Alligator mississippiensis: one gene and its partners. The protein of the gene in region 1 interacts with the protein of each later gene in a pairwise test. Links are inferred from orthologs where the notes say so. Each region holds a gene or a part of one and is shown in the gene's direction. Other genes may lie near its edges. The genes, in order: ATPAF2, RPIA, RAD54B and SORBS2.

Region 1 (7,166 bases):
TGGATTCACTTGTAGTGAATGATTGCAGGTAGAAACATACCAACTGACTGGAGAAACCCAGCATCCCGTCAGCCCTTCCTATAGGGACAAATGACATCAGGGCCCTGTATCACACCAGCACCATGCACCACTTCTGGGGAAACGGCTGCAGTCGCAGCTCGCAGGCGAGAGGCTGTAAACCACGCATCCCTCCCAGTCCATGCTGGGCGAAGGTAGCGAGGGATCCATGCGGCATCCCCGCTCTGTGCAGGGGCACCTCGCCCCTCCCAGGCCTGTGCTTGGCAGAACCCCCTCTGCCTGCCCCTCCCTGCAGTGGAACGTACTGTTGACAGCAGGTGCTCCACTGCGCCAAGCAGAGGGAGGAGGCACCCCCAAAGACCACACTCCCTCCAGGTGTGGGCCCATCTGCCAGAAGCCCATGCCACTCCTCCAGGCTGGCAGCATCTCTGAGCCCGCCAAGGCCTTTCCTCTGCTAATCAGAGGACCCCAAAGCTGCCGCTCCTCCAAGGGCTTGTTTGCCCTGGAGACTGTGGCACAGACTCAGCTACTCAGGTACTGCCAAACCAATGCCATCTGTTAGTGCCAAGAAAAGAGCTTCCTCCACCTGCAAACTGAACTGCACGAGTCACTGACACAAGGGGTCTGGTCTGGGGCAATGACAGTAGCAGCCAGGGAGCAAGGAGGCAGCAGAAAGCAAGGTGGAGCAACCCCCAAAACACTGTTTCAGGCCCTCTCTGGCCCCCAGGCACAACCCCGGCCCTTTTTAAAGTCTTGGCACATCCCCTTTGCCCACGAGGTGCATACAGGGCTGCTATGAGCCTCTCTGCAGCTTCCAGCATGCTCGCTTACCCAGTGCTTGCGGTCTACGTCCTCGTCCGCATCCCATTTCCGGGTCAGGAAGGGGTGCTTTTTGCTGATGATCTCCCCCTCAAAGAAGGTGGTGAGGGTTGGGTACTCCTAGAAGCAAGCACACACACACACACACACACACAGAGGGGACTGAAGGGCATTCGGAAGATCTTGCATCAGAAACACCAGAGATCTGCCTATGAGGAACCCATTCAGCAAATGCTTTCATCAGTACGATGCCATGTGGTCTGAGACACGGCTGCGATGCCCCCTCCTTGTGCTGAGCAAATCATCTTATGCTTCCCTGTATATTTGCACCAGCCCAGCCCTTCTCATCTCCTCCCCCAGCCACCTTTCCAGGCCTTTCCCCTGCTCCTGGAACATCCCAGAGCAATACTGAATCCAGAGGTCTGTTGTGTGCAAGCTCAGCAGACCCTAGAGCAGAGGCCAGCTGCTGCGTATCACCTGTTAGAGCAGGCAGCCTGCCCCTGGAGAAGCCTGTAACCAGCATTAGAACAGTATCGGATGACCAGAGCATTACCCCAGTCACCTTGCTGAACATCTACTGAAAACAGAAGCAGCTCCAAGATGCTGAGGGTGGAAAGGTGGAGGTCAAAGAAACTCCTACCTGTCTGTTTTTAATTTAAGCAACATAGAGATGCTCGTAGCGAGCTCACTGGTCACAGCACAGCACTCAAAGTGACATCAGGGACAAATTTGGACCCAAGTTTTCCACAAAGTTGGTTACACTCATCTCCCACAGCAATGCCGCCAAATGCAGGTGACTGCTCATTACACCAGCTTTGCTGCGGGTCAGCCGGCTGGACCTTTATCCCTCGACACCGAGGTGGTTGACTGCGTTAGTCTGGAGTGAAGGCAGGGTGGCACCTGAGAGCCTACCTAGTTCAGAGGCATGAGATTTTGTCAGCAACAACCTACTTCACCAGACATTTCATCAGACCAGTGCACTCCTAGCGTCTGGCAAATTAGGTTGCTGCTTAGGAAAGCTCAGGCCTCTTTGAATCAAGTAGTCTCCAAGGCCCAGCCCTGCCCTGCCCTGCTAGACCAGTGTCTAGAGACCTACTCCCTGCTTCCAGAAGGAGAAAAAGATTCCTAGTTCCTCTGCAGGAGGTGCTCACCTCTGTAAGGCCTTTGATCTTCAAGTATCCGCAGAGGTAGGAGTTCTCCATGTCCACGTGCTGGGGGAGAGAGCACAGAAACCGTTCGTGAGCCTATGTCCCCTCAGCACACGGCTCCGGAGGCTCAGCCAGGGCTGCACGGCTCAGCTTGGGTCGCGAGATCACACAGCGGTGAGCAACATGGAATGAATCACTTCCAGGGACCTCGCTCACCAGCCTTGACCAGACGACCATGGAACATCTTACCTGCTTCCAGCAAATTAGTAAGACCTTGGTCTGCCACCCAGGGATCAGAGAGGAAAAGGAGTCAGAAGTGATTCACTCGGCCCCAGTGCCTCAGAGACAGATCTCGGATGAGATCCTTGTCTCCTAAACCTGCTCCAGCCACATGCTACCAGTGGTTCAAAGAGACCAGAGGGGATGTCCTCAAGCAAGATCTGTCTCCACTTCCCCTGGCCCTGACCGCCAGCTTTGGCTTTGAAGTCAACTCTGTTAACACGTCATCTCTCCTCACTTCCGCAGCGTTCCCAACCTCTGCTCTTTACCCACCCAGACACCATGTCTGGCCCTTTACGAGCCTGTCCATCTGCGCTGCACACAACAGCCTTCTTGGGATCCTCTGCCTTCAGAAGCAGCCCTCGCGTACCCTCAAGTGCCTTACTCACAATCCCAATACTTTGCTTTCTCTCCTCTCTGTGACTGGGCTTACACCCGATTACCGAATCCACCTGCCACAGAGAAGCAAGGCACTGAGCTCTTCCATCACGAGCCCCGCGGTAGCTACAGAAACTTTTGCTCTGGACTCTCCAAATGACCAAGGGAAATCTCCAGGCACGTGGAAGAGTCTGGAAAACGCAGGCGTTGAATGGGAAGGAGGACCTTTCCCACACGGGACCTCTACAGATGGAACAGCTGCAGGTCTCACGGAGGACACGGGCAGACACACGAACATGGACGTGCACACGCGTGACACGAGGGTTAAAGCCGGGAGCCCCGGCAATCTTTGGGAGAAAAAGGGCCTGTAGTGAGGCCCATCCACCATGGGATGTCTCCACTGAAACGAGCGGGCTCAGGTACGCTCGTGCGGCTGACAAGCGCGGCGCGGTCAGCCAGGATCGACAGGGCGGTCCAAGCCCTCGGCAGGTCGGCTGACCTTGGGACTCGGACATTGCTCGACCGCCCTGCCCGGGCACCGGCCGCTCTCACGCACTCGCTGCAGGCGGCCGAGGGCCGGCCGTGCCTCCGCAGCCGGCTGGAAACAAAGCCACAGGCGGCCTCACGAGAGGATCGGATATCCAACGTGCTTCTTTCCACACGACCCCCCGGCTCGCCCGCGCTGCCCAAGGCCGTCGCGCCCGCGACTAAAAATAAAAGCCGGGCGGACGGTGACCCCGCAGAAGGCTGCGGGGACGAGGATCCCCTTGATCCGGCCGCGGCCGGCAGAGACCACGGTGCCCCCGGCTGGGCCTGGCCCGAGGAGCGCCCTGGGGACGCCCCGGCCCCCAGCCCCACTGGAGGCAAAGGGAGGGGGACCTAGCAGCCCCCCGCCCGCGCCGGCTTCAGCCCCCGGGCCCACTGCCCTGGGGCATCTCCCTGGGGGGCAGGGGGCAGACAGCAGAGCTGGGGCAGGCAGTGAGGGGCAGGTAGCGGGGGGGGTGCCCCCAGGAGTGGGGGGGGGGCAGATGACGGGAATGGGGCAGGCGGGGGGGGGAGTTAAAATGAAGCGAGGCTGACATGAAGGGGGGCCGCCCCCCGCGCGCACCTGCATGACGACCTCCACGTCGTAGGCGTTGCCCTTGCTGCGCTGCTGCCCGCGGAACTTGGCGCCGCTGTAGAGCAGCGAGGTGGCCACGCCGGGCTGCGCCGTGTTGATGGGCGGCGGCGGCACGAGGCTGGCGGCGGCCCCGCGCCCGGCGCCCCCCGCGCAGCAGCACTCGCTGCGCACCGGCATCGCCCCGGCCCCGCCCGCCGGCCCGGCCCGGCCCGGCCGCCCCGGCCACCCCGGCCCCGGCCCGCCGCTCGGCCTGGCGCCGCCGCGCGCTCCCATTGGCCCGCCGGCCCGTCACGTGGCGCCGGCGCGCCGCGGGGGCCGCCGGGACGCGTAGTTCCCCCGCCTCCACTCCCGGCGCGGGGACGGGGCGGCGCGAGGCACAAAGCGCGTTTGTGAGGCGGATTGGCCCCGCGGCGCGGCAAGATGGCGGCGCCCAGGGACGGCGCCTGAGCGGGCCGCGGGGATGTGGCGCGGCTGCCGGCGGCTGCTGCGGGCGCCGCTTCCTCCTCCTCCTCGCCCGGCGCGGGGCTACGCGCCGCCCGCAGGTGCCGGGGCAGGGGCAGGAGCCGGGTGGGTCGGGACGGGGCCTTGTCCCCGCTCTCACGGGCCCTTGTCTCCCTGCAGAGCGGAAGCGGTTCTACAAGCGCGTGGGCATCTCGCGGGGCGAAGGTGAGTGGGGCCGGGGGGAGGGTGAGCGGCCCCTTCCCCCGCCCGCCCTCCCTCCCTGCGGCCCCGCGGACCTCCCCCTCTGCCCGCCCGCCCAGGGGGCTTCGAAATCAACCTGGACCAGCGGAAGCTGAGGACCCCCCAGGCCAAGCTCTTCGCGGTGCCCAGCGAGGCCCTGGCCGTGGCCGTGGCAGCCGAGTGGGACGCCCAGCAGGACACCATCCAGCTCTACGCCATGCACCTGGTGAGCGCCGCGGCCGTCCCGTCCCGTCCCGGGACGCGCCTGCCACGACTGTTTTGCTGCCCCCGCGCGCGCAGATCACGGCTCGGTCTCTCCTCTGCCCCTTGCTAGGGGCCGTGGCCTCGTGAAATTCTCCGGCCTCCCTAACGAAGCCGAGGAGGGGATTCTTCCGCTCTGCTCGGCCTCCGTGAGGCCACAGCTGGAGCGCGGCATCCCGTCCCAGGCGCCGCGCTTCAAGGAGGACGTGGGAAAGCTTGAGAGAGTCCAAAGAGCCGCCCGCGAGATCGGAGACTTGCGCGGCAAGCCGTGCGAGGAGAGGCGGAGGGACCTGGGCCTCTTCAGCCTGGGAGAGAGAAGGCTAGGAGAGGACGTGGTAGCAGCTTATTGCTGCATTAGGGGAGTACATCAAGGGCTTGGTGAGCAACCCTTCACCAGGGCATCCTTGGGGAAAACCAGGGGTAATGACCATAAACTCCTGGAAGACTGTTTCAGGCTCAACATTAGGAAAAACTTTTTCACGGTTGGGGCGTCCGGACTGTGGAATAAGCTCCCTCCAGAGCTGGTGCAATCGCCTACCCTGGAAATCTTCAAGAGGAGACTGGTTGGTTTCCTTGCTGGGGTCGTCTGACCCCCCGTTGTCTTTCCTGCCGGGTGCAGGGCGCTGGACCCGATGATACTGCAAAGTCCCTTCCAGCCCCTTACATCTGTGAAACTCTGCTTCTTGCCTCTTGTCTGCAGACCACGCTCTGCAACACGGCTCTGGACAACCCAACCCAGCGGGACAAGACGCAGCTCATCCAAGCGGCTGTTAAGTTCCTGGAAACGGACACAATCTGGTAGGAGACCTGCCGGGTTTGCTGTTCGCTGGGGGAACACCTGGCCAGGCCAGGCCGGACCGGCTGTGGTGGGACTCGGGATCCCTTCCAAGAGGATCTATTCGAGCCAAGCCACCCTGCATTGTTTCTGCACCAACAGGCCTCTATCTCCTCCCCGCTCTGTGCCCCTGAGGAGCTCTCCCAGGCCTGCGCTTCTCCCCATGAGATGTTGCCGGTGGTCCTGAGTATCTGCTAGCGCGGCATTGCCTTTTTCCTTGTCTGCGCTTGGTGTTACCCTGCATTTGCCCTGAGCACTCCTTTACCTCAGCTGAGCCCGTATTCCTGCCCCTGAGCTCTGGGACTGCTGAGGGCTGGACCAGTCCTTGGCCTCTAGGCTAAACTCGGAGCAGAGACCTGCCTGAGCTGCTTTGGGGCTCCGAGGTGGCCTGATGGGTTTGTTCATGCTGGGGCCTGAGCTGGCTGCCTGACCTGTGAACGCTGTTCCACTGGAGCCCCACAAACATTGCTGGATTTACCACAGAGCAGAAGCAGGCTGCATCCCTTCCACGTGGTACCTGGGCTGGCAGGTAGCTGCGCCCGCAGGTGGCCCCTGTGGGGCCTGCAGCTTCTGCCAGTGTGGAACTGAGGGCAGCCCTGTGCTCCTTGCAAGCTGGCATCTCCTGCCAGCCCAGGAAGGGGCTTGCATTTCCAGGGGGGTTTTGCGGCACGTGGCATTAAGACAGCTGGTGGTTTGTCTGTGACGGTCGGTTCTGGTGGTCCTAGTTACAGGGTGGAGGAGCCAGCTACCCTGGTGGAGCTGCAGAGGAACCAGTGGGACCCCATGATCGAGTGGGCCGAGAAAAGGTAGGAAGCCAAAGGCTCTGTCTTTTCTGCAGTGTGCCTAAGGCGCTCATCCCTGCAATAGCTCAGATGAGCACTGGTGGCAGTGGGCCAGTGTGCTGTGTGTTCAGCTCGTCAGCCCTGAGAGGAGGGCATAGAGGGGTACTGAGGAGGCTTTGAAGGACAGAGGCTGGTCTTAATGGCTTCAGGTGCCCAGCAGCAAACAGGGAGGGGAGGATGGTGTCGCAAGACTTAGGATGCTGGGCTGGAGGGGGCATGCAGCGAGCCCAGCCTGCCACAGCAGTGGGGTTCCTGATGCCAGCATACATCCAACTCTTCCAGGTATAACGTGACGATCGGCTCGTCGACCAGCATCACTGGGCCCACCATCCCTGTGAGCACCAGAGAGACCTTCAGCAGCCACTTGGCCTCGTACAACATGTGGGCGCTGCAAGGTAAAGGGAGCAGCTTCTCCATCTGTCTGTCCTTCCAGGCATCAGCCCACAGGGAAAACGTTCCCTCCCCCAGAGGCAAATGACAAGCCAGTTAAGCAGAGGAGGGTGCTTTCGATCAACAGGGTGGAGAAGGAGACATCCCACCTCAAACTTTCTTCCACTGCCTCTGGGCAGGGCCTGTCTAGGCCTGGCACAGGGGTCCCTGTGAACTTAAATTGCAGCGTGTTACACCCTGTTAGTAGAGAAGGGGAATTCCCTGGGTCTGAGCTATCCCAAATGCATAGGTATCTCCTTTAGCTCACAAAGGCGACCCACCATCATATGGCAGCCTGGCTGTCCTGGCCATGTGCTGCTGCCCCAGTTCCAGAGAACAAGCCCAAGCCCACCTCC
Region 2 (6,888 bases), on another chromosome or scaffold:
CAGTCCATTATTGGCTACTCTGGACATATAAAAGTTCATGCAACTTCCGCCCAAGTCGGAGACCTCTGAGCACGCGGCAGAGTAACCACGGAGAACTCTGTAGCGCGATCGAGGAAACTTGGCGGACTGATCACCCACCAATATCTCCCCGTCACTGGGTCCTTTTGATGTACCCCGCTATCCTGCAGGTTCCTTTTCATTCGTAAACTCGTTAACTCATCACTCGTTTTGCTATCCGTGACAACGCAAGCAAGCTACTTCGAGGCCTGTGCTGCCATTCTACGTGGCGTAAGTAAAAACAATCTTTTAAAACCAATAAGCTGTCTCGCCTCTCCATTGCTGGCCCGCCTGACGTCCGATTAAACTACCGATCCTCGGGTCGGCTCCGGCCGCTCGAAACAATTTACACTGACATAACGCGATGATTCCCCGTTCCCCGTTCTCTCCTGTCTCTCGTGTTGAATCCGGTCATGCAGGATGTCTCATGTCTGGGTCTTGGCTTTGCTCCTTTCTCTGTTTAATGAGAGTCTCTGACAGCTCTGTCCCTCTTTGCCTGTGCCATGTTTTTGTCCCTGTGTCCTCTCCTGGGGAGCTCTGTATTTCATCCCCATGACACTTTGCTTCATGTCCCCTTGTGCTTCATCCCATGCAGGCTGGCTCTGTCCTGTAAAGTCATACTTTGCCGTTGGGACTGTGCAGTCTACTTCAGCTAACTGATTTTAGCATTAGTGGTTTAATCTATGCAACAAGTGACTTGTTAGGCTGCCCTGGGTTTGGGATTGAACAGGTGCCATTTTAAAGTGGCTGAGCTAAAAGCTGCTACGGGGTTACACTTGAAGCTTGGGGGGGGGGGAGGGGGGTGTTACCTGGAAGGAACTAGTGGGAAAACTACTGATGCAGTTTGGTGCAGGGCATAAAAGGACTTGAAGTGTCGAGGCTTCTCTGCAGTCTGCTGAAGGAACTGTTGGAGGTTGAACCCTGAATTCCCCAGCTGCCTAGGGCGAGCTGGCTGTACAAGCAAGGGCATCACAGCTCATATGTAAGCAATCAGCTCCTTATCGCCTGCAGCTGATTCTCAGGCTAATATTTGCAAGAAAGTGCTTTTCTTTAAGAGACTGTCTATAGTCTTACCCTATATTGAAACAGAAAGGGTTCATACCAGGACCCCATTAAAATCAAGGCTAAAACTCCACCTCAGTACAAGAGGTGCAGCTCACTGGTGAACAAACTATCACCAGTTCTGGGACTGCTGGAAGCACTGGGCTGGTTAACATGGCTCTTCCATGTGAAGTGATCCTGGAATATCCCAGTGACGTGGCTGTGCTGGAGGATGGCAGGCAAAACAGCTATGCAGCAGGGAGAAAGTCAACTTAATTAAATATATACTTTGACTTTATCCTTAAAAAAAGGCAATACATGAAAAAGTAAAGGGGTGAGACCAGTAATTAGCAAGGGGCTTAATAGCAGTGATATTAAGCCTGCCTCTGAAATGCGACCTGGCCTGGGTGGCATATAAAAACTGGGGGTAGAGGAGGCCAGAAAGCTAGATTAATACCTTATGGCCTCATATAGTATTCTGCAAGCAACAAAATAGGTGTTAATAGCTATAAGCACAGATGTTGAGGCCTTGTCTGGAGCAGTGTGTCTGTTTTTGGGCATCGCCCTTTAAGAAATATGCAAACAGACTAGATAGAGTCCAGTGGAGGGCAACAAAAATGACTACAGGCCTGGGAAGCATGATTTATGAGGAAAGGCTGAAAGAACTAGGCTTATTTAGTCTGGAGGAGAGAAGACTGAGAGAGGACCTGATAGTCTTCAAGTACCCGAAGGGTGGTTGTAAAGAAGAAGGAGAGAGGCTATTCTCTGTAGCCACAAGAAACGGGACAAGGAACAATGGAAACAGGACCCATGAGTCCAGACTAGGTGGCATTGTGCCCTAGCCCCAAAGCCACCTTTCCCTGCAGATCATGCGGAACATGCATTTCTGTCCGGGTCATTTACCTGTCTGGTCTCCTCCTGTTTGGAGGAGCCATGTGCTGCTCATTGCCTGATTGTGAGAAGTGAGAAGCAGGAGTGTGAATGGCCCAGCTGGGCTGGAACTTGCTCCAGGGATCAAATACATCTTCCTTTTCCAAAAAAAAAAAAAAAAAAAAGGAACAATGCTCTTGCGACAGGGGAAGTTCAGGTTGGACGTTAAGAAGCTTCTACGAGGGTGGTTAAGCATCCCCCTGGAGAGCGTGGACTCTCATCCTTGGAAGTATTTAAAAGCAGTCGTTGGCTGGGATGGTCTAGTTAGGGATGGTTGAGCAGCGGGCTGGACTAGATGACCTCCTGAGGTCCCCTCCAGCCCCACTTCTGCATGAGTTAATGGTTACACAGGGCTGAGATTTGGAGAGCTGCTGGAAGCAGACGAGACTTTTCAGAAGTCACAGAGGGTGAGGCTGTCACTCCCCAGTAGCAAAAGGGTGAGGAGGGACAGCACAAAAGGCAAAAATGGGGACATGGGGGGGTTGGGGGCGGTTGTTGGGTAGAGAGATGGTAAAGCTGGCAGGGGGTGTGGAACGGAGGAGTGCTTTGAGCTGGCTGCGGAAACCATGGGGGAATTTGGCGCGAGGGGTGACTGAGCACAGAGGCATTTCCATCCTTTCCAGAGCTGGGCAGGGGCCAGTGAGAGGCACTGCAGTTGTGCATTATGGCCTGTCCTTGGCATCTAGCGACAGGTGAGCAGCAGCACCTGACGTCTGCCAGCCGTGGCCATGTGAATCCTGTCGGGTGTCAGAGCCAGGCTTGCCCGCACCTCCTGCAAAGGTGAGGGGATGTCTTTACCCCTAGCACCTCCTATGCCATGCTTTATTTATTTATTTTTTAAAGGATAATTTTTCATGTTCCAAGACAAATCGGCAAAATCAATTCCAAATCCGTGAGTCATTCAAGAAGCTTATGTGGCCTTGCTACTGGCAAACATCCTCCACCCAAACTGGGGCTTCAAATGTTTCCAATCTACAACCCTCCAAATCATTCGGCAGGCATCCTACGCGCAGGCCCAAGCCCAAAGGCTTGGGGTTCAGATGCCCCTGAGTTTTGCTTGCATTCAGCTGTATGGCTGCAGGAGCGAGCTAGGCTATGCCACGCTCTTGACACGCAGGGGCTCCTACCCTGCCAAGAGAGGGCTTCATCCTCACTGGGAGGGCACTGAGTGCCGGGGACCCCCTGGGGCAAGGCACCGCAGCTCCCAGCCATGCCCCACACGGATCCTGTCCTGCCAGGCGCACCCACATGCCCTTGCCCATGCCTGGCGGGCAAGCATCAGCTGCATTGCCAGGTCTTAAATATGAAATTACAGTATCATATTGGCTCAAAATGATTGCACTTGCTGAAAAAACGATTGTCCAGTGAAAAAAATATGCAGAGAAGCCTGCAAATAAATCGTCTTTACTTTGTATTGCTCGCTGTTAAGACGTCAGTGAAAGAGTGAGAGCTGGGTCATCAAAACTGAAGTGTTTATTTGGAGGTGAGGCATCCTAGCAGAGTGCTGGCAGCAAACCCAGCCGTCAGTTCAAACTTTCTGAGAGCGACTTGGGGTTTTGCCTGTGGTGCATCAATTCAATGCCTCAAAAATGATCCATTTTCCAGTTGGTCTAATCAAAAGTATCACTTTGGAACCAAGAGTTCTAGTTTAATTGAATTTAAGTTGGTGCAATAAGAGAGATCAGATTCACCCCAAGACCCACGGCTGCACGCTGCACCCCCGACCCACACCCCGCGTCCGGATTGCACCTGGTGCGCGCACCGCTGCGGGGCGGCCGGGCGCGAGCAGCCGCGCTGCATGGCGGGAGATGTAGTCCCCGCCGCCGGCTGCACTACAACTCCCAGGCGGGCTCGGCGCGCAGCCGGACGGCCGGCCGGGCGGCTCCGGTATGCGGCCCGGGGCGTGGATCGGCAGCCTCTGCAGGACGCTGGCGGCCCGGGGAGCCGCCCTGCCCGGCGGCATGGCCGAGACGGCGAAGAGGCAGGCGGCCCGCGCGGCCGTGGACGGGCACGTGCAGGTGAGCGCCCCCGGGGGGACTCGAACCCGCGCCCCGTCTCTCCTGGCTGACCTGCGGCTCAGCGACCCCTGGCCAAGCGTGCATCCTGCTAGCAACATGCATTGCTTCAGCTTGGGCCTCTGCAGGGGGAAACCTGCCCAGTCGGGAGGTGCGTGCGGTGTCCGGGAGGTGCGTGCAGTGTCAGGCCGGGGGAGAGTCCGGAGCCCGGCTGCGTCTGCGGGCAGGCCGTAGCCTCGCGTAATATTTGTTGCTTCAATGCTCTGCAAACGTCCGTCAGTGAAGGGGTTCAGCTCACCGCTGCGCAGGAGCTGGTGTCAGGGAATATCGCCTCCAATTCGTCGTTCAGCTCAGTGTCGTGTGTCTCTGGATGTTGGCCCAGCAGCCAGAAGACTCCCCGAACTCATCCACACGCTTTGGCCTCTCTTCTCATGCATGCTTGTTGGGGTTCGTTTTATCCTGCGAGTACCTGGAGGTCCCAGCTTGAGTTTGGGGCCCCCTGGTGCTAATATGAGCATGCCTAGAAGTTACACCGCTGTCGGCTGTGTCTGTCCATGTCCATCCCAGGGTAATTTTACCTGATACTAAAAGGCTGGTACTCGCTCCCCTGCTTCCTAGGGGTGCGGCGCAGTAACAGCTGCCTGCTGCGCCAGCTCTCCCTGGGATAGCTGCAGGCCTGTCTGGCGTGCTACCATTGGTGTGCTTGTCCAGGCCCTCAGTTAAATGCTTCAGCCTGGTCTCCACTGCGATTTTACATTGAGCTGGGTAATGCATGCTAGTTTTCTCACTGTCAGACACTTCTTCAGCGGGGAGGACTTAGTCCTAATCTAGATCATATCTAAACAGGCCTTCTTGCCTGAATTGTTGCAGCTCCCTTCATCCTTGTGCGGTGGAGGGGGGTGGATGCAAGACCTTTTTCTCTGTAGCAGTCTGTTACCAAATGCGGAGATAACATCTGAGGTCAAAAAAAGCCTCTCCCTGTGTCTCCTTGTCGGTTTGTTCTTCTTTCTGACTTTAACCTTGTCCTCCCTTTGGAGGCGCGTGGCTTTCTTGTGCGTTGGCTGCGCTTGGCAAAGTGAGACGTGGCTGTGTTCATTTTGCTGTGCTGTCCCTGGGACCACAGGGAATAAATATCCAGGTATGATCCGCTGGCCTGGGCTTCTCCCGAGGTGGATCTCGGTGGGGAAGCAGGATCCCAAGGTAAAGTTGGCAGGCCCCAGTCTTATGCCATGTTCAGAAAGTTTAACAAAAACTTCCTTACTGGCATTACTGACAAGTTAAACTTTTAACTCCTTGGGGGTGTGCTCTGCTGGCCCCTCTGCCTTCCCAACCAGGTCTGTGTTGTTCTGCCTGGAAAAGAGCAGACTGAAGGCAGCTCCACGCAGTCCCTGCCAGCTTTGGTTGGATCATTGGGCACAGCAGGGCAGCTTGATGCACCATTTAACAGCAGAGAACCTTGCTATTACATTAAATAATGCATGTACATTAAATTGTATGCAAGGAATGAACCTATAAGGCCAAGATTAAACTTTAACATCTTGTGATTTTGTTTTTGTTTTTTTTTGGTAATGCTTTGCTTCTTAAGTGAATTTAAGCTTTGTATTTTCACCAAGGAATTTGCTTATGTACAAAATGTGCAGGTGTATGTATGCATGAGCCAGAGTTAATTCTCATCAAGTTTAGCTACCTAGTAAAGTGTCTCTACACTGCAAAGAATACAGCATTGTGGGTCGTGGTTGTGACGTAGCAGTGCCCGTTCACTGCACATTTAATTAATACGTTTCTGCATTAAAAGTCTGAATCAAGCAACAAATGATATTGTATTGAGATGGGGGAGAGATTTGCCATGTGTCAGTTGTTTAATTTAGGGGTATACTGTCCTGGTTTATAGTTTTACTTACCATGGGATAGAAAGAGCACGTGAAACAGCTACTAAATTCCTGCAGTTTAACTTCGACTTACTTAGGAATAGAGTAGACACATGAACTAGTTACTGTGGAGCAGTTAACATGCAGTAAGTCCTTCCTTCCTTCCAGCTTGTTATCACATATACGTGTGTGCCCGACCACAGTGTGGATAGCACGCTGTGTGTTAATCGTTGTCCTGAGCAGGCTCCCACCCTTGGAAGCGGAAGGCTTTGGAACCGTTTAAACATGGCTTGTGATGCAAGACTCATGCATTTTAAGTGCATGAGAAGGGCCCAGGGTGCACCGTATTTTCTACAGAGCAAGCAGGTTTTTCTTTTGATCTGCTGTTATCCTCCAGGGAGTGCTCTTGCAGTTTTTGCTTTGGATAGCAGAGTTACTGCTACAGTGCTGTTCACTAACAATATTGTTCCTGGAAGCGGTGCTTTACCATGTGGCTTCCTTGAAAAGTAGGCTTCTTTCATGGGGTGCTTGTTTGAACCTCCTCCTGTGCATAGACTGATTCTCCTGCAAAATAATGGGCATCTGGAAGACCTGCAGTGTTTCTGCGGCGGGGGTGAGGGAAAAGATGCCTCCGTTCAAGTTTTCCAAGGAAGCAGTGAACTGCTCTCACCAGTAAACTGAGTTGCTGGTTTTAGGAGATGCTTTAGAAAAACTCAATGTTGAACAGTGGACTGTTTAAGACAGGGGTGGGCAATTATTTCGGGCGGAGGGCCGCTTATTGAGTTTCGGCAAGCCATCGAGGGCTGCATGACAGGCAGCCCAGGGCAGATTAATATTAATTTTCTGTATTTTTTAGGGACCCCATGGGCCAGATAGAATGACCTGGTGGGCCGCATCCAGCCCCCCTGGGCTGCATTTTGCCCACCCCTGGTTTAAGAGCAAGCCTGCATGAACGTGGAGTACCCACAAGTGTTGTA
Region 3 (7,634 bases), on another chromosome or scaffold:
TGGGGTACAGTCACCCCAAAATTCACTGTAGCACCCCATAGCCCCCCTCCCAGTGCCACTGCCACCATATGCCCTGCCCCTGCCCAGCCCACACACCAGGAAGAGGTTGGTGCAGCCCCCAGCCCCTAGCGTGAAGCCCATCCTTGTCCCATGCACAAATCTAGGGGGGACACATGCCCCTCATGCCTCCCCTGGTGTGTGTGCAGCGGCAGAAGCGACCCCGCCCTCCTGGACAAACCACTTGTGACTTTTTGTTCTGCACCCTGCTTTACCCTGGCTGGGCAGCACTTGTCCCTGCCCGTGCTCCATTCCCTCCCTCTGTCCCCCTCCATGAGAACCTTGATCGGCTCCCCCACGCTCCTTCTCTCCCCTGCGCCCCTTATCCACCCACAGACTTACTGGCCAGACATTGCTCTCTAAGCTGCCGGGCTGCACTCCTGGCCATGTGCATGCTGCGGCTGCATACACACACGTAACATTTATCTGTGACATTATCAGCCGCATCGGCCAAAAAAAGCCGATTGCTGATGATGTCAATTTTCCTTTTACCAATGCCAATACAATCTGGACCAATGTATCAGCGCACCTCTATGTGGCACTCCAGGATGTTGAGAATCACTTGCATGTAGAATGCAAGGCAAGACCATGCAGGTATCCTACTTAATTCCTGAGCTGGAAAAAATATACCTTGGTGCTGTACCTGGTTAACTGGCTCCATTTCTCAGCAGTGCTTGGGTACAGCACTACATGAATGTGGCTGATGGCTTCTGGCTTGCAATCTAGTGCCCACTAAGCTAGCTTGGGTACTGCTACACAGTGCTGCCTATGCAGACCAGTGATTCTCAACCAGGGTTCCCTGGCACCCTAGGTTGTCTTGACATCTTTTCATGGGGTGTCATACCATATTTGCTGTTACATGTGCAGACATGATTCACAAGATAAACCTAGCAATTTCAAATAGGAATGTTCACCTGCTGTGTTCTCTCTGAGTTCTTTGCAACAAAAAAGTTGCTCTGTTATCTTTCTATAGTGAAGAGTAAGTGAAAACTAAGCTGGAATTGTCTGAGGGGTGCCTTGAGTCTAATGAGGTTGAGAACTGCTCATGTAGACCTATGCTGTGAGTTTTGAGCCAAGCTCACAAACTCCTCTCTGTTGTGGTGCCCCAAAAAACATGAAAAATGGGTAGAGAACTGGTGCAATCTGATGGCTCCTTATGCTGACTAACTGCAGCTCAGTTTCTTTAGAGAACTCCAGCTGTGCTTGTATGCATCTCCGCACAGGCTGAAGAGAGCCAGTCCTCTGCGATGTCGGGTATTTCCTGCTATGCAGAGCAGACCACATACCTGAAGGGTAGCCAGGAGTCTACGTTTTACAGCACACATGTTCAAACCTTGGCCCACAGGGCAGATCTGGGCCCCAGTGCAATGTCATTTGTCCTGCAGAGCTCTCCACAGGTGTGTGGGTAGCCCCAAGGCTGTAACCTTGCATGCTAGACTGGACACAAGGGGCTGGGTGGGGCTCTGAGGCCTGATTCCAGCTTATAAAACGGGGCTGAAACAGCACAAGGCTCCAAGACCCAATTCTGGCACAGAAAGACAGGAATGATGGTTTAAGGCTTGCATTGGCAGCCAACACCTGTGGGCCACATCTGCCCCACAAGTTTTCTCAGTTTTCAGAGGCGTACTTTTCAGCAGAAGCTGCATTACAGGAGCAAGAAAGCAGTTCTTTGCAGATCTGGGACAGTGGCAGATTGGTGGCCTGCAGTGGTGGCCATGTTGTAAGTGCAGGCCCAGCACTAGTAAAAAGCGGCCAACTCTTAAGCAATTAGCTTATGCCACCTATTCCAGAATGGCAGTAGACAGAGACACCTTGTCTGGGGCATTTTATGTACCTATTTGACCCACATGGCCTAAATGTTTGATGCAGCGGTTGCTGGCTCCAGCTTGGAGATTCAGTTTTTGGGAGCCCCTTTTGTAGCCATGAATCTGTAAGCAGAACACAGTACATTTGGGCTGGTTTGGAGTTTCAGTGTTATCAGTTTCCTGGGGTTGCTATGCCATTTCCTATGTGCTTTGCTGATTTACAAATACTGCTCACTTGACAGTTCATGCCTGGAACATCTTTAACCATACGGGACCTGTGCTCTGTGTACACTTTAGCTTAGGACAGGGATGGACAATTATCTGGGCTGGAGGGGCACTTAGGGAGTTTTGGTGAGCTCAGCATCTCCCCCTCCCAAAAGCTCACCAAAACTCCCTAAGTGGCCCTGATACAATTCTCCTTCAGAGGAGCAGCCGTGGGATTAATAGTATTATTTGGCAGGCCAGAACCCAGCCTGCAGGCTGTATTTTGCTTACCCCTAGCTAGGAGATTTAGGCAGCACGTGCACAGGGGCTGCTTGCTTCACATGTTTCAGCTACTTTGAGGGTCCAGATTTCTTTACCTTCTTGGCTTATTTGGCTAGTTTGAAAGCTGAAATACCATGGCATGAATAATCAAGCTGTTTTTAATTGGGAAGCACAACCTTTATTTTTCCATTAAATATGAACAGAAAGCGCAAAAATTAAATGTAGGGAGGGGAAAACCTGGAGGTAACTATGCCTTTAAACACCTTGGGCAATAAACAAGTTATCAGTGCAACTTGGGAGGGAGCAGGAGGAGGAACATCTGACTTTAAAAAAGTGCAAAAAGAGAGCAAACAGCGGGCAAAGATCAGGCTGCATGTGAAGGGCACTTGGAGAAATGCTTAAAAGAACTTTAAAGTCTGTGGGTAGGGGAGGCCACAGAAATGGTCTGATACTTTGAGGGGTCAAATCACACTGTCCTCTTGCCTACAGTTTAGCTTTGGCTGGGAGCCCTGTGATGAGGGAGGCATTCTCAAAGGCATGGTCAACTGGAGTTGACAGATCTCAGATGCTGCAGACTAGTAAGGAAGGCCAGGGAGCAGGCAGAGGCTGAGTAGTGTGTAGGGACCAACCTGTTTAGTCCCCTAGACCAGTGGTTCTCAATGTTTTTGTACCAGGATGCATTTGTAAACACCAGCCTGCAAGGGAAAGCCCACAGTTCCCCATGTTTTCCTCCTTTAAAGGAGAATCCATTTTTAAAGTTTGTTGGTGATCCTTTCATACATTCTTGCGACCCACTTTTGGGTTGCAACCCATGGGTTGAGAAATGCTGCCTTAGACTATCTGCTGAAGAATACGCCTTCCATTAGTACATGCTTTACTTGCGTTTCAACTTCCAACATTTTCCCTGGAAAGCATTAAATGTGCCTTGGCTACAACTTCCTCTTGACTCAAAGCTTTCACTCTGCTGCAATCTTCTCTGCAAATGTCATGCTTCTTGAAGTTCACCCCCATTATCAATCATCTACCCACAATTTAAGGCCTATAAGCTCCCTGAAAATTTGTTTTCTGTAAGCCCTCAAGATCAGCAGTAACTGAATCATTGCCAACACCAGTATCCCTGACAGTCTGGAAGCTGCAGGTGCCAACCCTAAATGCCAAAAACAGTAACAAGCGCTTACTGACCACTGCTCCATTTCTGTGGTCTCAGAAAAATTATCTTCTCCTCTGCTTTTAGGAAAACCATCTCCAGAGTTCTTCCCAATTTGGGAATACCCTGGAGATGCTAAATCCTTTCTAAGCTTTCCTCCTGCCTTGTTTGCCATGCAGGTATGTTTGTTCTTTCAGTCAACATAGCCCTATAGACTGTAAGCCTGTGCTGACGGAGGAAGGAGATAGTTGCTACTTTTCTATGTATGGCTTGTGCTGGTACGGCTTAGGTAAAGAGCACATTCTATATTTCTTATTCAATTGTCTCTCGTCTTTGCTGTATGCACTGCCAACGCTCTCCTGCAGCTATTGCTGGTGTTAACCAGGCTCGGGAGTGGACAGCAATAACCAGCAACTCCTGGCTACTGAGAACCTTCTCATGCAGAAGTTCTGCTGAGTGCAAGGTCCCCAGCTCCTCCTGAACTCTCTCACCAAGGGTGGCTTGACGCTAAGAGCCGCTGTCTCAGCAGCGCAGGCAGCCAGCTCTGAGCCCAGGTGGCAGCTGTGGAGTCTGCCTTTCTCCTAGGCCAGCGCAAGGTCCCAGGCTTTTCTGTCTCGTGCTGCTGGCCTATCATGCTGGCATTCCCTCACCCTCTTCTCTGCCTGCATTGGAGTGACCAACCTGCAGTATGTGTGTCACAAGTGGCATGGGCAGCCCCTAAGAGTGGCAGACAGGGAGGGGACGGGCAGGCAGCGGAGAGCAGAGCAGCAGATCGGGAAGCAGAGCAGAGGGCACCCCAGGGAGCTGAAAGCCGAGCAGCAGTTCGGGTGGGGAGCACAGGGCAGGGAGCAGACAGCAGAGAGGCAGATTGGGGGAGGGAGCACAAGGCAGGGACAGCTAGCGGAGCAGCAGATCAACCCAGGGAAGGGGGGGTCCGCATTGTTGCTCTGCCCGGGCCCGGGTGGCGCCGGCCCATCGCGCCTCGCGCCCCGCACCCACCTGGCGCAGCCGCCGCCCCGGCCCGGAGCCGCTTGCAGTGAAGACGGTATCCAGCTCGATATTCCGGCACCGCCGCAAAAGAGAGGGGCCAGGGCCCTTTACGGCTGGTATTGCTTGACGGCAGAACGCAGCACTAGCGACAGCCCAGCCAAGCCGCCATGCTAGAAGTGGCCGAAACAGCAGGCGCATGCGCAATACAGGTTTACAAGCCCCTGACAAAACTCTGCCATTCTAGAGCGAGAGCAGAAGTGCGAGAGGAAGTCCACGGGGGCGAGCACTGAAGACAGCTTCGCCCCCTTGAAGCGGCGTGGGGAGAGGGTTAGCGCATGCGCAGAGGAATCACTTGTAGCGCTGGCGGGATCCTTGAGCTGCGTTGGCGGCGGGTGCGCATGCGCCTTGGGTCGAGTGGCTGACGGGAGCCGGCAGGCGCGGCGGGACGGTTGAGTGCGCGCTTGGCGTCTCGGGGCGAGGGCGCGTGTGGCGGGGGCGCGGGCGCGGGCGCGGGGGCCGCCGCGAGCGGGCCGTGTAGGGAGCACCCCGGGGCGGGGAGCCGCGTGCTGGCGGCGGTGTTGCCAGTGTACGATAATGATCCTGTTTGTACGATCATTTCAACCCCTTTACCATGGACGGTCAGCGATGGTAAAAGTGTTTGGTTTGCTCTTGTGGCTCCTGGCCCGGCCGCAGCCGAGCCCAGATAGTGCCTGTGCAGCCAGCTGCAGTAGGAGCAATGCAGCTGGCTTGGACAAGGCGAGGAAGAACCATGCTGCTTCCCAGGTCGCTGGGCTTAGGAAGCAGGCTCTGGGGGGGGCGGGCCTGGGGACTGTGGAGCCGTCTTCCCCCGAGCTCAGCTGATGAGTACCCAATAGCCCCCTCTAAGAGCAAGGGGGGCTAACTGTTGCTCTGCGGGTGTAAGGCCTGTGATCCTCTTATGAGTCCGATACGCCAGTCTGAGGAACTGGCAAGAAGCAGCTTTGTACACTGGTGCTGCGTGCTTTTCTGACCAGTCCACATTTATTGTCAGTTAAGGACTGTGGTTCCTCATTGGAAATTCGTCCCTTAATTTGAATTTGGCCCTTAATTTCATGGTGTGCTTAATTTCAATCCTGGACAATCCTAATTCCGGGGTGTCTGTGCTAGATGGGCTCCATGCACTGCATGCAGCTCATGGGTCTAAAGCTAGTACATGCTGCATGCAGTGCGGATTGGAGACCATCAAGCCCACAGGGCTGCCTGTGTGTCGGACTCTACAGGTCAGATCTGGCCCATTGGCTGTGTCTTTCGTAGAATCATAGAAGTAGGGTCGGAAGGGACCTTGTAGATCTTCAAGTCCGACCCCCTGCCTGGGCAGGAAGAAAAGTGGGTTCAAGTGACCCCAGCCAGGTAGGCATCAAGCCTCTTCTTAAAGACCCCCAGGGTAGGAGCCAGCACCACTTCCCTTGGAAGTTGGTTCCAGATCCTAGCCGCCCTGACTGTGAAGTAGTTCCTATGAATGTCTAATCTAAACCTACTCTCCAACAACTGGTGGCCATTATTCCTTGTTATCCTGGGGGGCACTAGGGGAAACAAGGTCTCCCCCAAACCCTTCTGGTCCCTCCTAGTAAGTTTATAGATGGTCACCAGCTCCCCCTCTCAGCCTTCTCTTGCTGAAATAAATTGAGACTTACACTTATTTGCCCACACCCAGACTTGAACTGCCAGCCTTTTCATTAGCAGCTCACAACTCAGGCCCTCCAGCCACAGAAGAGGCCTTTTTTGACAGCCTTGTCCTAACTTATTGTGGTAGCAAAGCGAAGCCTGGGAGGAAAGTTAACTTTTTGGGCCTTTCATTGGAATGGAAGTTTTGGGATCTCTCTTTCACAACTAATGTGCATGTCGTCTATAAGGCAAACTTTCCAGATTGACTTTTGCAATTTCACCAGAAAGCTGAGAGGTGGGACTTACTGCCACCCAGGTGTGTGGGTCAGGTTTGGGTCATTGCAATTCAAATGGCATTTATGCCTATTTTGGATGTTGCCTATTATTGGGCTACAACAGGACTTTCCAGCTGGTGACCTGTGGGCTTCATGCAGTCCATGGGGGGTTACATTGTGGCCCTGGGCTACCACCTGGCCACCACTTTTCCCATTGCTTCAGCTACAGAAGCAGCCAGGGACTCTGGGCTCCTTTTCCCCTCCAGCTTCTCCTTCCTGCAGCATGGTACAGCCTGCATTGCTGAAAGAGCCTTAAGGTGAAATGCAGCAGGGGAGACTGTGGCTGGGGAGCTGAAGATGAGTGAGGGCACTTGGGCACTGGTGTTGTTGTGGGTGGGGGGGGAGTTAGGGAGCAGTGTGTGGTGCAGTGTGGTGTTGCTCAGTTCAGTGAGGTGAAAAGGCTTATCGTTCAGTAGTGAGGGGGGATGGGGGGTACCTGGACACATGGTGCAGTGGGGGGGAAGTGGTGTGTGATGTAGTGGAGGGAGGCACATGCAGTGGAGTGATGCAGCAGCAGAGGGCTGCTTAGGCATGCACTGTAGTGGGGGAGGGAGGAGGCACTGTGCAGTGATGGGGAGGGACATGAAGTGCAATGGTGGGGAGGGCGTGCATGGTGGTACTGATATATGGTACCGCTGGGGGGGTGGGAAAAGCGCGGTACCACTAAAGCAGTGGTCTCCAACCTTTTTAAGTACCAGATCCCTTTGTGAATTAAAGTGCAACCTAGGATCTATCGCACCTCTCCCCCCTGCAAGTGGGGGGGAGCAAATCGAGGCCCCTGCAATGAGGGAGGGAGGGGGGTAGGGGCAGGTGCTGGGGTGAGTGTGGTCCTGCCTGGGCTGGGTGGTGGGACAATTGGAGCCCAGGAGGCTTATCCAGGTGTGGGGTGGGGAGGCTCCAGCCACTACATGCATCCCGGTGGACACCTGGGGGATACGTGCCCTCCCCGATCTGTATGCAGGGTGGAGGCAGCTGCTGTTGCACACTGGACTTTGCACTCCAAGCCCCACTGCAGCTATTCTGGGAGTGGCACAAGGCCACATGTGTCTCGCCACTGGGCTGAGGCTTGCCCCCTGCCCACCCAATGGCAGGACATGGAGCCTCTGACAGTTGCACTCAGTCCCGCCAGACTGAGATCATGCATGTGCTCAGCCTCCCCAGACTGAGATT
Region 4 (7,365 bases), on another chromosome or scaffold:
TGGTAGCTTTTGATATGGACAAATGTTCTCTAGAGACTACAGCAGACCAGGAGGCTCATTCGAAATTCACACATTAATGGGATTTTAGCCAAGATCTGAAACAATATCAATACTATTCCAGATCCCATTGTAAGCCAGTATGTAAGTATTTGCTTAACTCTAAGCACATAAGTAATCCCACTGAAATCACTACTGTGACTAACTACTTAGAGTGCAAGTCTGTGCTGCGCTTCTAATCAGGACAGCCCAATTTAACATATTAGGGCAAGCATGGGCCTATGAGGTTTTAAGCTGTTATTGCAGCTTCCTGATCCAGGCCTGCTTAAGTAACTAACTGGAGAAACACCTGCTGTTATTTAGACAGACTGGGGTTGCTAGGCTTGATAGGAGCCTGCAGATATTGCTGTAACTATGGGCTGCAGACTGCATGTTAACTCTGTTTGTCCTGTATGTCCTCAATCCTTGGGCTCAAAAGAGGTCCTTTGGGAATCAGCTTTTATCAACAGTTCCACTGGGCTTGCACAAGGAAATCCTCCCAGGATCGTTTTGAAAGTGTTTAAGGTTTCTCTATCCCACTGTGGCACTTCACAAAGTATAAAGGAGCCTGAGAAGAGTAAAGACCTTGCCCTTTGTGCTTAGATTCTTTGCTGGAGTAGCACCATATTCAGCTCTTATACTGAACCCCTTACCATACCTTTCACCTCAGTATTTATGCCAACAGTTGATGAAAAGCACATACCATGTTTTGGTCTAGACCTATACAGGAAAAACTCATGCCATTTTTTTTTAATTGGAGCCATGCCTAGATAAGGCAAATAGGATTAGATCCATACTCATTACCTATATGGAACTCCACTGGTATAATTCATTTTCTAACACCAAGAATAATTTTTTTTTGTAAAATTGTTGTTCTTCCATTCTATGTCAAGATATCCATGAACCTGGGTATGAGATCAGAGGAATTTGTGTGGTTAGTTGTTTTAAGTATTAACATTGAGTCCTGTATAGAGGAAGTTGAATGTGCTAGTAATTGTCTAATAGGCCAATGAATTAATGCATTTGGGGTAGATGGACAACCCTAATTTTAATTTAATTTGCTTTGTTATCAATAAGCTAAATCTAATTTTTACAAACTCAGTGGGGTGCATCAATGTAAAACACCCATGAAATGAGAAATGGATCTAATATATGCATAATGTTTGATTAAGCAAAAGTAACTGAATTAATCTTACTGCAATGGCACTATAGCAAATTGTGCTGTGATGTTTAGCATATTTATAAATAATTACTAAAATACTTCAAAATCTCCTTGCCAACAAGTCCAAATCAGTTGCAAAATCAGCAAACTACCTGCCTTTCTGATCAAAAAGGAGCAGTACTGGACAGTAGTTATGGCATCAAAGATCTGTGTTTGAGTTATAGAGCTGTTCATATTAAGTGAGGTTGGCACTAAGCAACAGCTGCAGTATCTTAGGTAATATACTGGCAATAAGTATCAGGAAAGCCATCTTGATTTTGTTTTGTTTTGTTTTCTTAAAAGGAGAAAATAAAAACTCAAACCAGCACTTATATTAGAAATATAGTGAATGATATTTGATTTAAGGCCCTTACTCAAAGGTGTTTGAATATGTTTCAGAACTGATGTCAGAATTCCCTGTGAACACAAAATGTGGGTGCAAGTCATACAAGCAAAGCACAAACTGCAGGGTATGACATTCGCAAGACAACTATTCCCCTATAGTCTGTAGTCCAAACTCCAGATGGATATTTTTAGTCTACAAACGATACACTGTGTATTTTGATCTAAAAACAAACAATCAAACATTGGGACAAATTCCCTGCTCAGATTCCTTTGCCGGCTTCCTAGCTGTGGTCCTCAGTGACATGGGAAGTGCAGCAGCAGAAACTATTTGCAAGTGAGGGTGGTGTTTCAGGTTACCTCTGAAGTCTAAACCATTCTAAAAGCACTTAAATAGGAGTGTGCATGCATCAAAGGGTGTTCAACTGTGCCAAGTACCATCTAAGTAACTAAGGGTGAGGGTTATCTTTGAGCTGTTCTACCTAACTGGATCTAGGGTATTGTTCTGCTCCACAGAGATAAAGTGACCAATTTCCAGTCATCCAGCATCCTAGGATGCAGGGCTCCGAGCCTCTTTATCCCTAACAAATTGTCCACCCTTCCTAGTTCTACTGCCCAAGGGGTAGTAATGGCCCCAGCACCCCCACCCACCCCTACATAGCACCACACTGCCAAATCCAAGGACCCCAGGAGACCCAATCCAGGCCTGTGGGCCAGGAGCCAGGCATATGTTGTCCCCTGATAGGGCTAAGCCTTTTCCCCACATCTGGACAGCTGTCCTCTAGCCAGGAGAATTTGGGCAAGGGGGACATGGCTTCCCTCTCCAGCCTCCTGCATTCCTGGGGTGGGAGGGAAGAAAGGGCTGCCTAGCACAAAACATGGTAGAGCATAGAGCCTGGTGAGGTATGCTTCCCTGGGGTCCATCTGTCTCTGTGGTTAACCCCTGGGGCTTCACTCCCAAGGGAGGGATAGAAGCCTGGCTCCTGGTCATGCCCCTGCTCTCTAGGCCCTCTAGTGCCAAGTAACAGTTCCTCTGGTCGGAGATGACGTTAAGCATTAATTTGAGACTACTCTGAAGCTGTTCTGACTTTAAGACCACCTAATGTTTCATGGTTTAACGGTATCCTGTAAGAGCACTCAGTATTGCCAACCCCACTGTGTCAAAAATCATGAGACAAACTCGTAAAAATCAAGAGATTTTGAATGTAAATCATGAGATGCTATTTTTCAAGTGTGTGTGTATAGGAGGGCCATTATTTGTGAAGGTGTGGGGGGCTGTGGGTGTGCGTGTGGGGTTTGGAGCCTGGAGAGGGGGGTCCCTGCACACCCTGGCAGGATGCAGGGTACTGGGGTTCTGGAATGAGGGTCAGCAGCAGGGTTGGGGGGGGGGGGCTGTGGCTTAGAAGTGAGGGACACACACACACACACACACACACACAGAGCCACCCCCTCGGGGCCCCATTCACCCCAGAGCCTGCCCCACTCCCTCCTTCACCATAGAAGCCTCGATCTGCCCCCCTCCCCCCATGCCCCTGCCCCTTCCGATCCATAGACTTACCAGCTTAGCGCTCTATACACGTGCCAGAAGAAAAAATCCTGAGATTTGATCTCTGTATCAGGAGATCATGAGTCAGAGTTAATTTGACTTGGAAATCAGGAGTCTCATGATTTTTTCATGAGAGTTGGCATTACTGACACTCTTTAGACTGCCAGTAGGCCTGAAGCTACTTGGTATAGTCCTAACAGTCCATGGCATAAATATGGCAAATGACATAATGAATTACAAATTCTGAGCAGTCTTGGTATCTCTCAAAAATAAAAAGAGATTTAAAGTCGCCATCTTCAGGCAAAATGCCTGATAAGAATGCAGCAATACCTCTCCAATGTCCTCTCCCAGTATTATTCACTTGTTGGCTCAACAGCAGTTTTCAGCTATCAATAAGCTGAATTTGCTACTGCTACAAACTGTTCTACAGGTTCAAATTAGATAGCTTGAATGTTTGGAATGCAAATGTATGTAGTGATGTAGGAGGTATGGTATGTAATGTAGAAGTTTATATGGTTTTTAATTAGTTTTCAGGGAGCTTTAAGAGGAAGAGGTGCTTTATATGCAATGGATTCCAATAAAAAGCTTATAAGTACCAGAAATTGTAGCAGAGACGTTGATACCTAGCCTTTATACACCACTTTTTATATGCTGATCTCATTTTTTTCACACATGTCTTCCCCCGTCCCAAACTCATTTTAAATGCAGAAAACTGAGGAATGGAGAAAGTAAAACAATCAGTTATATTCTGTTCTAAGTGTATGACAGTGCTGTGGTATCTTGAGAGCAATGGTTAGTTTAATTCCTTTATATTTTCCTAGTAAGAAGGAGCACCCAATTTTACATATATAGAAGAGAAATCCATGAGAATTTATTTTATTTTATTTTATTTTTTTTACAAAAAAAGTAAAAATAAAAAGTAAAAGGTTTTCTAGGTTATGGTTGGTAAGTGCTGATTAATGTTGAATTTGCTAACCAGTGATTGTGGATTATCGGTTCCATTTCAAAATTAAATTAAAAAAAGATTGCTTGTTCTAATGACATATTACTTTGCCTGATTTATCAGATTTCCTTCATGCATAAATTTTGTGCATCAAAAATCCAGGCCTGTTTATAACTTGTTGTGTATTGTCTCTTTTAGTCTAGATTATATACAGTAGGATTTCCATATATAACCCCAAAAGGGAAGAGGAAAAATGAGAAGTATCTAAAAACAGGCCATTCTTCACATGGACAGAATATTCAGAAATCAGAAATTGTGGCTGGCCAAAATAAAATGGGGAAAAAAAATCCCCATAAATTAGCATTCTGTGTTGGGGATCTGCACATGATCAGCCATGCTTTCTGGATAAGTCTGTCTGTTGGTTGTTGCCATGGCTACAAAAAGCTAGTGGAACCCAATGAACTGTCTGCAGCATTGCTGAAAGGATCAGCCATTTTGCTTATGGAAAACAGTGTGACATATTATGCTGTGCTTTACCATGGAATAAACAAAAAATCTATTCAGAGGAAACAGAGGAGAAGATGAGGGAATAATTACTATAGCTGAGAATGCCTACACGCTGCCATTTTGACAAGCTGGTGACGGCTCATTCCCATTAGCTGATCAGGGAAGGTGGAATGCAGAGTGATAATGCTGCATATCTGCTGTCAGGCTGGGGAGTAGGTTTTTTGTCTTGTAAAGGCAAGGTTTCCCTGCAATGTTATCTCAACCACTCGCGAGCTGCTCCGAGTGAAAGCTGGTGACCCAAAAGAAGGGTGTTGCCCTCTCCCAACATTGTTCTTGTGCTCTGGTGTTTTATATGAGCAAGCACCACTGGAGAAGCAGGTGTGCGATTCAGATAGGCTCTGTATTGTCGGCTGTACAAACCACCCTCTCAGGTTTACATGCTTCTTATTAACAGATTGTTGGCTTAGGAGCTTCTGCTTCTGGACTTAGACCAGGAGGCTGCTGTGCATCTCTGCTTGTGTGAAAGAGGTAAGCTTTTGTTTGATTGGTTTCAATTTTATAGAAAATACTTGCATGAAGTTTTGCTCAAAGTAGCATCTCAAATGTATTCCTATTAAAAGTGACTTGTTAAAGCTTGCATTTAATGATTTTGATCATATTATGGTTTATTTGAGTGCAGTAGCATAATGTAACAGTCAAAATGCTTCCTGTTTTGAGAAAAAAAATGGGTAGTGAACAAATCTTATGCACATTTCATGTATACACAACAGGGATTTTATGCATCCTGCTATGATTTTATATTGTAAGGATTACATGGGATATCAAACATTATAGAACTGAGAAACATTTTGTTTGTAAAACCTTAAAATCCTTGATTCTCTCAGCATTCAAATACATGCATTGTTCTCCATCTTAATAATGTAGCTAGATTTAAATTGTCCAACTGCTGTGTGCAGTATGTAGGTCATAATAGAAAGCAGCTTTTGCACTAGGCTTTCTTTATGGAATGTATGCCCCAGCACTGTGTTTGATTAGTTTCTGGTACTTGTCTGTTAGGAGTCTAGGTATTAAAGGCAGCTCACACCTCCTTTTCAAAGATATCGTGCATACCATGCTAGCACAGAGCACAACACACCCATTGTGTCCCTCAGTTTGGCATTGAGTAAAAGAAAGGAAGCCAGCACTCCACATGGAGAAAAAGCACCAGCTATAGTTTAAGACAGCTAAACTTCTATTCTTAAGCACCCTCACCAGCAGCCAGTCCACTAAGAGACAGACAATAAAAAGGCTTAGACAAATGCACAGAAATATTTGAACATGGTGTTTCTGGTGAATGGCTATGTGCTAATAATATGGACCATCAGTTCCCAAATGAATTGTCCCTTGATGCACACATGATACATATCCTGATAAAGAATCTCAGAAACAGAGAGCAGTTATGAGGACAGAACTAGGTCAATAAAACCACAGCGCATTGGTGCAGCCAATGATCAGATAATCTTTAAAATATGTTAAATAATGGCATTTCAGCCCAGAGTTGTTAAGAATGCTTTTACAGAATAACATAATTTCTAACTTAATAAAATAATGAAAAGCTGAAATGCTTTAAATTCTATACACGGACAATTAAAATTTAAACAGAAATTCAAATTCATTTCTTGCAAGCTATGCTAATAATATGTTTGCATTCACTTTTAATTCACCGTTGTGTAGGTTTAAATCCCACTGAGCTAACTTGTATGCTTGGACTATAGAATGGGCATTTGATTAATCAGTAAAAGCCCCACTCCTTAATTACATTGTTAAACTAGTAACCAATCACTATTTTATAAATGGTACTGTAACTGAGAGGCAAAGTCCAAGACCATTTCTAATTGGGTTTTTTTTAATATATGCACCATAAAGTGAACATGTTGAGCCAGTGCACAGAAAATATGACTTTATGTTTGAAATCCCTGGCATAGGACCAGAAATTGCTTTAGCTTCCTTCTTCAAATCACTCCCTCAGAAAACCATATCTTCCCTGAATCAGGTCTGCTGATTTCCTTACCAGTCATCCTCCCTTAGGCTTCATCTCTTACCTGTTCTGTTTCCATATTTAGCCTGGTAGGTGTTGTGCAGGTAAGTTTGTTGGTGCAGTACAAGACCTTATGTGTGTTCTATGAAGTGCTATAAACATGTACATAGCATTGTAAATGTGTGTAATTGTGTGTGGGTGTGATTAACTTCTGCTACAAAAAGAATGGGTGGAGCTAAAACTTGAAAAATGCATTAACATTCTTCATATAAACCACTAAAGACAATTTGAACTTCTACTTTATAATGGACATGCTAAGTGTTCATAAGCAATAAAATCCAAAACATAACGCACTTTTAAGTCACAGGTAGACTGGGGTCCTACCGTCAAGAAGTACAGGCAAAATACTAAGAAAAAATAAGGGTGGCTGTAAGGATATCTCATACAAGCAAAAATGAAAGGTGCTTATATGAAAAAATGATAGACATAGTGAGTTCTGTATTTTGTTAGGTTTTTTTTTTACTACTTTTCCTTGCCTCTCTGCTCATGCCAATTCCCAGCTTTGCTTCTAGTGCTCTTAACATCCTTCGTTGCTGACCTTCATTCCTCTTCACCACATACATGAGCAGTTCACAGATAGATAAACAGATGACTTTAAGTGTCTTGTAGATGCTGTTGAATAGTTAGGTTTTCAAGAAGAATTTTAAATGAGTGTAGGAGGAAAAAAAACCAATTGAAGAAATGCTATGTAAGCCAAATTTTATGTTGTACAA

Evidence for each region.
Region 2: the proteins of ATPAF2 (region 1) and RPIA interact in binary tests that used the Homo sapiens proteins (3 or more experiments, as listed by UniProt). The two-hybrid records come from large-scale screens. The link is inferred for Alligator mississippiensis from reciprocal best matches to the Homo sapiens genes ATPAF2 and RPIA.
Region 3: the proteins of ATPAF2 (region 1) and RAD54B interact in a two-hybrid assay, tested with the Homo sapiens proteins (2 studies listed by BioGRID). The two-hybrid records come from large-scale screens. The link is inferred for Alligator mississippiensis from reciprocal best matches to the Homo sapiens genes ATPAF2 and RAD54B.
Region 4: the proteins of ATPAF2 (region 1) and SORBS2 interact in binary tests that used the Homo sapiens proteins (3 or more experiments, as listed by UniProt). The two-hybrid records come from large-scale screens. The link is inferred for Alligator mississippiensis from reciprocal best matches to the Homo sapiens genes ATPAF2 and SORBS2.

What each region holds. Positions count from the first base shown.
Region 1 is NC_081836.1:54,885,852-54,893,017, reverse strand, and holds the start of ATPAF2 (ATP synthase mitochondrial F1 complex assembly factor 2), read left to right. Parts: upstream 1-4,164; 5' UTR 4,165-4,222; coding exon 4,223-4,304; intron 4,305-4,383; coding exon 4,384-4,428; intron 4,429-4,523; coding exon 4,524-4,669; intron 4,670-5,404; coding exon 5,405-5,502; intron 5,503-6,264; coding exon 6,265-6,345; intron 6,346-6,663; coding exon 6,664-6,776; intron 6,777-7,166. Other genes in the region: GID4 (glucose-induced degradation protein 4 homolog), read right to left, coding at 850-957, 1,989-2,048, 3,751-3,939. UniProt on the Homo sapiens protein: Plays a role in the assembly of the F1 component of the mitochondrial ATP synthase (ATPase).
Region 2 is NC_081825.1:13,854,491-13,861,378, reverse strand, and holds the start of RPIA (ribose-5-phosphate isomerase), read left to right. Parts: upstream 1-3,880; 5' UTR 3,881-3,917; coding exon 3,918-4,046; intron 4,047-4,127; exon of another isoform or gene 4,128-4,142; coding exon of another isoform or gene 4,143-4,214; intron 4,215-5,160; exon of another isoform or gene 5,161-5,183; coding exon of another isoform or gene 5,184-5,243; intron 5,244-6,888. UniProt on the Homo sapiens protein: Catalyzes the reversible conversion of ribose-5-phosphate to ribulose 5-phosphate and participates in the first step of the non-oxidative branch of the pentose phosphate pathway.
Region 3 is NC_081826.1:43,509,987-43,517,620, forward strand, and holds the start of RAD54B (DNA repair and recombination protein RAD54B), read left to right. Parts: upstream 1-4,683; 5' UTR 4,684-4,694; intron 4,695-4,724; exon of another isoform or gene 4,725-4,938; intron 4,939-7,634. Other genes in the region: RING finger protein 151, read right to left, coding at 4,495-4,683. UniProt on the Homo sapiens protein: Involved in DNA repair and mitotic recombination. May play an active role in recombination processes in concert with other members of the RAD52 epistasis group.
Region 4 is NC_081825.1:69,985,412-69,992,776, forward strand, and holds the start of SORBS2 (sorbin and SH3 domain-containing protein 2), read left to right. Parts: upstream 1-4,350; 5' UTR 4,351-5,103; intron 5,104-6,656; exon of another isoform or gene 6,657-6,762; intron 6,763-7,365. UniProt on the Homo sapiens protein: Adapter protein that plays a role in the assembling of signaling complexes, being a link between ABL kinases and actin cytoskeleton. Can form complex with ABL1 and CBL, thus promoting ubiquitination and degradation of ABL1.